Saccharomyces cerevisiae S288C: one gene and its partners. The protein of the gene in region 1 purifies or fractionates together with the protein of each later gene. This does not show direct contact. Each region holds a gene or a part of one and is shown on either strand. Other genes may lie near its edges. The genes, in order: RDS3, HSH155 and CUS1.

What was found.
Region 2: the proteins of RDS3 (region 1) and HSH155 purify together in Saccharomyces cerevisiae (affinity purification with mass spectrometry; 4 studies listed by BioGRID). This does not show direct contact.
Region 3: the proteins of RDS3 (region 1) and CUS1 purify together in Saccharomyces cerevisiae (affinity purification with mass spectrometry; 3 studies listed by BioGRID). This does not show direct contact.

Annotation. Positions count from the first base shown.
Region 1 is NC_001148.4:718,547-721,460, reverse strand, and holds RDS3 (U2 snRNP complex subunit RDS3), read right to left. Parts: upstream 825-2,914; coding exon 501-824; downstream 1-500. Other genes in the region: Arf family guanine nucleotide exchange factor SYT1, read left to right, coding at 1-424; ubiquitin-protein ligase ASR1, read left to right, coding at 1,037-1,903. UniProt on the Saccharomyces cerevisiae protein: Required for pre-mRNA splicing. Involved in regulation of drug sensitivity and may play a role in multidrug resistance.
Region 2 is NC_001145.3:843,540-847,299, reverse strand, and holds the start of HSH155 (U2 snRNP complex subunit HSH155), read right to left. Parts: upstream 1,730-3,760; coding exon 1-1,729. Other genes in the region: DSS1 (exoribonuclease II), read left to right, coding at 1,955-3,760. UniProt on the Saccharomyces cerevisiae protein: Contacts pre-mRNA on both sides of the branch site early in spliceosome assembly.
Region 3 is NC_001145.3:749,425-753,184, reverse strand, and holds CUS1 (U2 snRNP complex subunit CUS1), read left to right. Parts: upstream 1-1,944; coding exon 1,945-3,255; downstream 3,256-3,760. Other genes in the region: YHM2 (Yhm2p), read right to left, coding at 280-1,224; RNT1 (ribonuclease III), read left to right, coding at 3,508-3,760. UniProt on the Saccharomyces cerevisiae protein: Essential splicing protein required for U2 snRNP binding to pre-mRNA during spliceosome assembly.

The DNA of each region.
Region 1 (2,914 bases):
TATTTGTAATAAGAGAAAGCTTACCATTTTGCAGAGGATGGAAAGACTTAGGTCTATAAAATCAGCCAAATGGGAGAAATTGAAAAAATTTGAAAGCACTCTGATGCTTATGGGAAAATGTGTTCCTATTAGCACAAAGACTAAGACAGATATGATAAACCGCATAAGACAGCTGGCTGTCAGAATGGACTGGTTAATCTACGAAATTAAGAGAAGCGAGCTGTTTGTAAGTATCATAAAAGAAGTGACTCGCAAGCAGGCTGAAAAGAATATCTTAGAGCATGGTAAAGGAGAAGAGGAGGGGCAAGGCAATAACGACGATAGTGATGGTATAGATGATATAGAGGAAAGCTTCTTATTCAACGAGAACAGTTTGCAAGTGTGCGTGAGCGACAGTAGTTACGACGAATATAGTAACGAATAAGGGGAAGAAAATAGTACCATGGGTTATAAATGCATGTTATTTATTTATATATTTTTACATATTCTATATGTATGTGTTATACCTTTTTCTTTTTCTCGAAATGTCTATCCAGTCTATTGCTGCCAAGGTTTAAGATCCTAGGACAGCCATCTTTATCTTTACCTAAGCGGCAGCACTCCCAACAATAGAATGCGTCATTGACTCCAACATTTAGATTACAAATTATACAATTTTTAGCTTGTTTACCAAACGAACAGTTTTCACATACTCTAACTTTCCTTTTGGGCCTTACATAAGAGTCGCAGATAGGACATTTGCCATCACATTTTTCACAAAGAAGACCTGTCTGTACACCAGGCTGCTTTAGGCACATTATTAGATCAAACTGATGGCGGGACATGTTTTTTTTGTTGGAGGCTTGTATGTGTGTGGATCTTTTTTGTATCCATCTTCATTTTCTATGTTGAATGCCTTAGTAAGTGAGAAATATGGCAAGTAATGCATATATGGAAGAACAGAAAGTGAGAAAAAAAAATAGAAAAAAAGATGCAAGGAGTTGAGCCAAGGGAGAGACCATACCCTCAGCCAAATATCCAAATATCATATAAAAAGATGGAAGAGTGTCCTATTTGTTTGGCAGATGACCAAGAGGGTGAACAATTTGGATGTTTGAACGTTTGCGGGCATAAATTCCACTTAAACTGTATAAGAGAGTGGCACAAGTATAGTATCAACTTGAAGTGCCCCATCTGCAGGGTTGAATCCACCCATTTAGAAGTTGGCGAAGGGCAACATGCACTTTCTATAAATTTGAAGATGGGGTTTATGATTAAGAATGCTATCGATTATGTGGGGGCCGAAACAACTAACGAAAGAAATGAGGACGATACAGGGGAGCAAGACCAAGAAATAGAATTTCTCAGCGAAAGGCTTAGAGGTACGCTGGTGATGGATACCATTAAGATAATTCAGTGCAGCATATGCGGAGACACAGATGTTTCTCGATTAAGCCTGTATTGCCAAGACTGCGAAGCAATATATCACGAAACATGTCTACGCGGGCTAGCTTGTGAGGTGGGCGATCGCAATACGTGGCAGGAGTGCACAGATTGTAGATCAAATGCATTGCTCGAGCTGCGCATGGGTGCTATCAGTAGCCAACTTGCTAGCTACGATTCCAGGAATTCCATGATTTTTGCTGGTGAGTTACGGGACAAGCACAGCGTCAAGACACAGCAGATGTATGAACAGATACGGAATGCCAAGCACAAAATCCAGATGCACGTGCGACGAGCACTGGACCGGTACCCACTGCCTCTGCTGCGCTTCAAGGATGCCTACAAGCACGTCAACAAGCAAGTATCCCGCAAGTTGTACCGTCTCTCTGACAACAAGTACCTGCCTGACCAGTACGATTACGACTCTTTAGCCCGAACTGGAGTGCACACAGAACTCCTAATTTACTGTCATGATGAGTAGTAATGCAATATAACATTAAAACAAGATATAAACAGTATAATACTCTAGTATGAGCCCTAAAAAAAACCCTCAGAAGCGGGTGACCCATCTCTCGTACGACGTATAAAAGCACAAGTTTGACCCATAGAATTTTTTTTTCACATCTTCCTTTGTTTGCTTCTTCGTCTTCAATAGAAAACAGTTGAACAAACTCAAATATAGCACCATTGTGAGTGCTACTGCACTACAAAGAGGCAGATTAAGCGACCAGTAGGTCCCTTGGAAGAGATAATATATGAGTTCCTTTTTTCTTTTTCCATTTTCTTTCTGTGTGACTCCCCTATGATTAAAAATTATTAATCATATACCAATTGTTCCGACTGAATAGTGGTTTAACTACATGTCGACAACCCTTTTTCGTTAAGTTTCAGCCTTGTATGAGGGGTGCCACGGAAGGGAAGAAAAGAAAGCATTTATCTTTCATTATTATCTTTTTCATGCCTGCAATGGAATTTTTAATTTTCCTTTTGATATGATGATTTGTTGTCGACCGGGCGGACATATTAGTATCTGTTAAAGGGTCGCCGTCTACTCTCATCGTTCTTTTGTGTACAAATTTTTTAAAGGAGCGATGTTGATGGCATTATGGTTCTTTAGTGGAGAATTGATGATTGGTCACAAGACATCTGATTTTTTCGGAAATTTGTTTCTTATTTCAATTTATTCCTTATCAGTTGATTTGGATGATAAAAGAGACTGTTGCGGACTAGTTTATTATGATGATTTTTTTATATTCACACTGTACTAGATTGGTCTCTTTAACGAAGGGGCTAATTGATGACTACAAAATAAAAAATAACTGATTTAATGACTCTGAAAAACTAGTTCTACAACCTAACTAATCTTGCACCCTATGTAGCCCTTTAAATAACTCTTGGTTCTCTTCCCTTTAGATCTTTCATTTTTGCACCTAATTGGTATGGCACATTTTTCAGTTTTCTCCCACTTAAGTTTTCTCCGTAAATCCCTCTT
Region 2 (3,760 bases), on another chromosome or scaffold:
AATCACTATTTGTTTGTTCTTGAAATGCTATCAAGAGCGCATCAATAAGCCTCGTTTCTAATCTCTCATCTAAATCTGCTGTCCCTAATAAGTTTACTGTTCTAGTAACAGCATGGACAGCCATTGTTCTGAACGGCTCAGCTTCATCTCTCAATGGTGTTAATAATTTATCAATGGTATAAGAACAACCTAATTTCTTTGCTAATGTAACAGTAGTATATGTAACAACTTTGTTTAATGGTCTATCCAATGCCACTCGTCTGACCCAAAATTTTTGAAAGAATTCTGGCGCGATTTCTTCTCTCAGAAATTTTGGCGTTATGGATTCTACAGCGCTACATTTTTGTAATACTAAAAGAATGGTCTTTTTCATTTCATCATCGGGAGAGTCGAATTCACGTCTAATTATTCTCATTGCTTCTGTGGTATAATAACCGGCATACTCTGGGTCCATCAATGGGATCATAGATCCAACAGCTTTTAAAAAAGAAGATAGCACTTTACCACGATGACTTCTTATACCCTTCCATAATGGCTCCAGTACAACGTTGAAAACTTCGATACCATATGGATAAGAATTTTCTGCTAGTGTTGATAAAGTATGTGCTGTAACAATTCGCACCGGAACGTGATCATCCATTAGGCAGTCTTTGATACAACTCATCAGCCCAGTAAGATGATTCAAGACACCTATTCCCAAAAGTATACCTATTTGCTGCACAATTTTTATGCCAGTATGCCTTGCTTTCCAAGACTTCCGTGAGTGGCATGCTGCATTGATGAAAGGAAGCAATTGATTAACACCAAGGGCTTTTGCCACCACAGCCGCCGCTCTTGAAGTTACATTTCTAACATACTCATCCTCATTCTCAATATCAGGTCTCATTACTGTTAGAATGGTTTTTAGGCCAGCGACTGTAGACAGATTGGTGATTATCTCCTGGCCTGTTGAACGAACCATTGGATCTTCATCTATTAGCAATGGGGCAGCTACTACAAGTATTTTGTGAACGTAAGGTTTTGTTAAATCTCCTAGCTGGTAAAGGACGCGATCTATGGTCTTGATCATTAGATGTCTTTCCTGGTCTTCCAAACTTCTGTCTAGTAATATGGGCAATAAGCGGTTAAATATCATTTCTGGACCAAATGTAACAGCTTTATCGGTTAAAATCCGCATAGAAGTCCTCCTACTCGCTGTATTGCCATTTTTTATTTTCAGAAGTAACATCGACAGGGTTCTTTCTTTCTTTTCATCCTTATTTAACTCATCTATGGGTTTTTTGGATATAACGTCGGCGAAATATTTATGGTCAGAAGGTTTAAAAAACATCAAATCATGGATTCCTTCTACATTAACCAAAGCACTATCAGAGTTTTCTTTGACCGCTGTTGAAGATTCATCAGGTGGCTCGTACCCTTTTACATCCCAACGAGATTTTCTTTTCCTTGGCACGACAGCGTCTTGGGTATTTTCTGAAGACGTAACAGTTTGTGTATCGGAATCCGGCTCAAACTTCATATCAAACCTTCTTTTGTGGTATGAATCCTCTCGATTTTGCACTGTCCTAGTTTCCATTTTTTCCTGTAGCACATCTTTTTCGTTCTCACCAATACGTGCAGCTTCTTTCTGCAGGTTTTCCCTCAAATCCTGAGGAATAGAATATTGACCGCCTAATTGGTGGCTCTTATCGCTATTATTAGCGTTTACAAATTGAATCGGATGACTCATGATGACAGGTCCTGGCTTTCTATGTTTATTATGTATAAGTAATTGAAGAGATGTTTCAGTTCTAACTCATCGAGAAGGAGATTTCTGCTCGGGCAAATATCAATGCAAACCCGAATAAGCTTAAATACTAACAACGTGCCAAATAACAGCAATCACGTCTAAAAAGCTTTCAAGAGACGATAATTGGTTGTGCATATCTGTCAGCGGAATAAATAAAGACAGGTGATGGTAGTTAGGCGGAAAGTACATGTTCTTCTAATTGCAAGGAGCTTTCATTCCTACACACCTTGCTTCAGAGTAACTACCAGAGGCAAACGACAGCGAAGTAAGAGTAAGCAGCAAGCAAAAGTAGAACTAGATCACACACGAGAGCTAGATAATGATCAAGCTACAGAGACAGTTGTAGACCGTTCGGTTGGACCGGAGAAAGATATAGAATCAATAAACAAAGACTTTCTGCAACGAACAAAAGGATTAGAGCCTGATATTGAATTAAAACAACTGCCTCAAATTAAACAGGAATTTAACCAACGTTATAAAGATAGGTATGTTAAACCTTCCGAAGATTGGTACGTAAACTCCTGGAGGTCTTTAACAAAACCAAAAATTCCGCTTTACAAGTTAATAAATTCAGATTTTCAATTAATAACAAAACTGAAAGCTCCAAACCCAATGGAATTTCAACCTGTTCAGCTAATGGAAAGTCCCTTAAATGTTGGTGACTTTGTTCTTTTAAAAATGAGACCCAATGAATTGGCGATGTGTGTAAGTCTTCCAAGTAGCACTATGGATCCTCGATACACTTTTGTTACTATTGATGGAACTATGTGCTTTGCGACCAAAAACCGGGTGTTATTGAGGATTCCTCACAAATTACCTGCTGGAATCCATTCACTTATACAGCCTGAGAGCCATCACAAACATTTGCCAATTGGAACCGTTAAGAACTTTTCTAACCAAACGAATATTTTGCCTATTGTAGCAAGGCAGCTAATAACAAGTAGGTATCCAGCCCAAATTTCAAAGTTGGCCTGGAAAGATTTGCCCATTACTACCAAAAAATTACAGTTACTCCACAGATCATTACAAAATTATATGGGTCCATGGCAGATTCCTTTTTTTACCCTAGTCGGATTAGTTCAGAAATTGGATTTAAATAAAGCCTTGGACGATAAAAATGGAATAAATTACTTAACTAGTTTAGTTAATAACTATCACACTGTAAACGATATACCAATAAATTCACCTACCTTTGTTTCCACGTACTGGGCGATTATGCAACAACAGGAATCGAACCTTTGGGGGGAAATCCATCTGAATACAGCGTTGCTGTCGCCTATATCAGTAACGATTATTCCCTTAAAATCACAACATTTATATTATGCGCAGGTGATAGAGAAGCTAGAAGCCAACAGTTATAGAGAGGTCAATAAGTTTGTAAAATTGGTGAATGAAAGGAAATATCGCGATATATCAGCTTTATATCCTTCTGTGATCCAATTATTGAAAGATTTTGCTGCTGGGAATTTTCACAATAACGGAATTATAGTAGCTTTGATCTCAAAAATATTCAGAAAGATAGAACGCTATAAGGATTGTGACATCACAAGAGATATATGTCAAGATTTAATCAATGAGATAACACCCAACTCAATACCCAATCCATTGTTACTTAACATGGATTTAGCATTACCTGCTTCCTCGAAGTTAGTGAAATGGCAACAAAAACTCTACGACTTAACTAATATAGAAGAATTGCAATGGAAAAAATCCGGCACTGATGACGATAGGTACGATTTTGGCGATCTTAGGGTTTTTTGTATAGACTCTGAAACTGCGCATGAGATTGATGACGGCGTGTCGGTGAAAAACTATGGTAGAGATGGACTGTACACTTTATATATTCATATTGCGGATCCAACTTCTATGTTTCCGGAAAGCACTAATGTTGATATTGAGGGTATAAGTACAGATATCCTAAATGTTGCCTTGAAAAGATCATTTACCACATATTTACCAGATACGGTTGTT
Region 3 (3,760 bases), on another chromosome or scaffold:
GATACTTTAATAGTTTATTTTTATGTATTATCAATTCTGTAGAATTTAATAATTTCAACATTTCATGAACGGCCAGAGGTAAATGGGTAAGGCTTCCTTTCAAAGAATCTATAGATATTAAGGTTTGCATGAAGTAAATAGCTGATAACCTTAGTACAATTAGAACAAGTTGAGACAAATAGGAAGCACCCCAGCATAAGAGCAATATCCTCAGAAAAAAAAAAAATGACTAAGCTAAATAATTAATTTTTTTAAAAAAAACTTATAGTACAATACACGCTAATGTTTGGCAACTGGGGTTTCACCAGTCATTCTGGCGACAAATTCCTTCGCCATATCACCAAAACCAACCATGAAGACAGTTTGCCAGATACCTAAACCAATTCTTGGGGTGACACCACGGTAAAGACCCTTTAGACCATTTGATTGATAGATGTATTTAAATGTCTTACCAACAGTCAAATTTTTTGGTCTGTTTGGATCTTCCTTCTTAGATTGCATTTCAACTCTAATGACTTCGATTGGTTGATTCCAAGCACTTAAACCACCACCTAAAGCACTGGCACCAATTTTCTCGAACGGATTCAACTTGTCGTCTTTATTGGTTTTCCCGGTGATCTTTCTGATACCATCTTCCACTAGTCTGGACAAACCAAAACGAGAACCCCAGTTGGTCATTTGTCTAATAGCAACAGCATTAACACCCTTATTAATACCTCTAATACCTTCCTTTTTATAAATATTCTTGAACACACTCCAAGAAGATTGTGGGACACCACCTGCGGAGGCAGATTTATGTCTTGTAATTTCCACCGTTTTCATACAGGTACAGAACCCCATGGTTAAGTAGGCTTGAGTGACACCACCCGTGACACCACCTAATATACCTGAGGCAAAGTTGTTCAACCCCAAACTTTTGAAACGATACTCAGCCTCAGCTGACACGAACAGCAACACAGCACCTTTAGTGGAGGCTTCGATCCATGCCCATGGAATCAAACCTTGGTAGTAACCCAAGATACCACCTCTTGACCAGACATGCTTAACAGATTCTAAAAATGTGAAGTTTCTGTTTGCAGCCATTGTGGTCTTAACAACCTCCAAAGGTTGCCCTAATGTAGTCACCTCTGACAAGTTTAAACAGGCACCCAATAGGATATTAGAAAACGAGACTGGCTTTTTTTCTATTACGTTTGCTGCAGCAGTATTAGTGGTAGATGGCATAGCTATAATGACGTCGGGCTTTTCCTAGCTTTATTTGTACAAAAGACTTATATAAAAAGATTGTATCAGCGCTGTTTATATCTCAATGAAAGTAGATATATATACCGTAAGCGAGTTGAAACAATGACTTGAGGTGGGCAGCTTCGGACTTTTTGCAAAATTCAAATCCGAATATCTAGAAGATTGTATTGACAGCGTTTTTTAAATGTCCGTAGATTTCTCGAGATATATAAATGTTACAGAAGGTAAGATCCATGCAAGAGGCTAATGCGTTTTTCTTTTTTTTTTTTAGAGTGCGATATCTTGTCATAAGTTTACACAATGGGACAAAGGAAGCTAAAACATGAGTGCAAAAGAAGGGCCCATGTTTGTCGCCCTATGCATTTAGCCAATCATCTTTTTTTTTTGCGTGATCTTTATCAATCGTGATTCTCTGCCTTCTGAGTGAAAAAAGTCATGATCTTCGCGTTATTGCAGCGGAATTTGCCGACAGGACCTAGGTCTTGAGAAAGAAAAGTGATAGGGTAAGTAATGGAAGAAGAGGGCACAGGTCCAATCACGCAGCTTCATTACAGGGCTATAATTGCAAGAATAATAACTTTCAACCATATAGAAATCCAATACAGTATATTGGTATTGTTTAGAAAGGTATTAAGAAGGCAGTAGCATACAGAGTATATATCTATAGGCAGAGCATCAGATCATAAAGATAGTGGTGAAATGGCTAGAACCAAAAGTAGGAAGCGTTCCGGAAATAACCAAAATAAGAATGCGTCTGTGGTAAATAATAAGGCTGAGATCGCCGCCATGATTGATGCAAGAAGGCTTGAGCAAAAGAAAAAGGGTGGGGTGACTAACAGCAAAGGAAAGACGAATAAGGTAGTGGATGCGAAGTTAGAAAAAGAGTTCAAAGACGTTTTACAACGATTTCAAGTGCAAGAGAATGATACGCCGAAGGAAATCACGAAAGATGAAAAGAACAATCATGTCGTTATTGTTGAGAAAAACCCAGTTATGAACAGAAAGCATACAGCAGAAGATGAATTGGAGGATACACCCTCGGATGGTATTGAGGAGCATCTATCGGCAAGAAAACGTAGGAAGACTGAAAAACCTTCACTTTCGCAGTTAAAAAGCCAGGTACCGTATCCTCAAATTATAGAATGGTACGATTGTGACGCAAGATATCCAGGCTTACTAGCGTCAATTAAGTGCACCAAAAATGTCATTCCTGTTCCAAGCCACTGGCAGTCCAAGAAGGAATATCTATCTGGCCGTTCTCTGTTAGGTAAAAGACCTTTTGAACTTCCTGACATTATCAAGAAGACAAATATAGAACAAATGAGATCGACGCTTCCGCAAAGCGGACTGGATGGTCAAGATGAAAAGTCACTAAAGGAGGCCTCAAGAGCAAGAGTGCAGCCGAAAATGGGCGCCTTGGATTTGGATTACAAGAAGTTACACGATGTGTTTTTCAAGATAGGAGCCAACTGGAAACCTGACCATTTGTTATGCTTCGGTGACGTCTATTATGAAAATAGGAATCTTTTCGAGGAAACGAACTGGAAAAGAATGGTTGATCATAAGAGACCGGGGAGAATTAGCCAAGAGCTTCGTGCCATAATGAATTTACCCGAAGGTCAACTACCACCATGGTGTATGAAGATGAAAGACATTGGATTACCTACGGGATATCCTGATCTGAAAATTGCCGGCTTGAATTGGGATATAACGAATTTAAAAGGCGACGTTTACGGAAAAATAATCCCTAATCACCATTCAAGGTCCAAGAAACAGGGTAGAAACTATTTTGGCGCATTGATCTCATTTGAAACCCCTGAATTTGAAAATTCAAAAGAGGATACACAGGCGAATGCGGAAAATGGGCGCCAAGATGACAAAATCGATGATGAAGTAGAGCATAAGTTAGATCACTTCCAGGAAGACATATCCGAAGTGACAAGCGCAGAAGAAAAACTTGAGAGAAACGAAGAGGAATCGGAGAAGCAACTATATACTGTATTGAAATAACTACTAAATATCGCATAGGTACTTCAGTTTTACAAAATTTTACATGTGGTACTATTTCTCACGTACGAGTTTTTTTCTTTTTTAAATGCGGCCCTAAACCATGCTGAAATTTTTCATGAGCTCATCGCAAAATTTATCTCATTATCAGGTCATATAGTCACTCTCAGGAGAATCCTGCTCGATCAAAGTGAGGCAAGTAAATGCGCATATAGAAGAGAGCAAAACTGTCCTATTTACAAGCTTTTCAAAACAATGGGCTCAAAAGTAGCAGGTAAAAAGAAAACCCAGAATGATAATAAACTAGATAACGAAAATGGTTCACAGCAGCGCGAAAATATCAATACCAAGACGCTTTTGAAAGGCAACCTTAAGATATCAAATTACAAATATCTTGAGGTGATTCAACTAGAACATGCTGTGACAAAATTGGTGGAGTCTTACAATAAAATAATTGAACTTTCACCAAATTTGGTAGCTTACAATGAAGCCGTTAACAATCAAGATA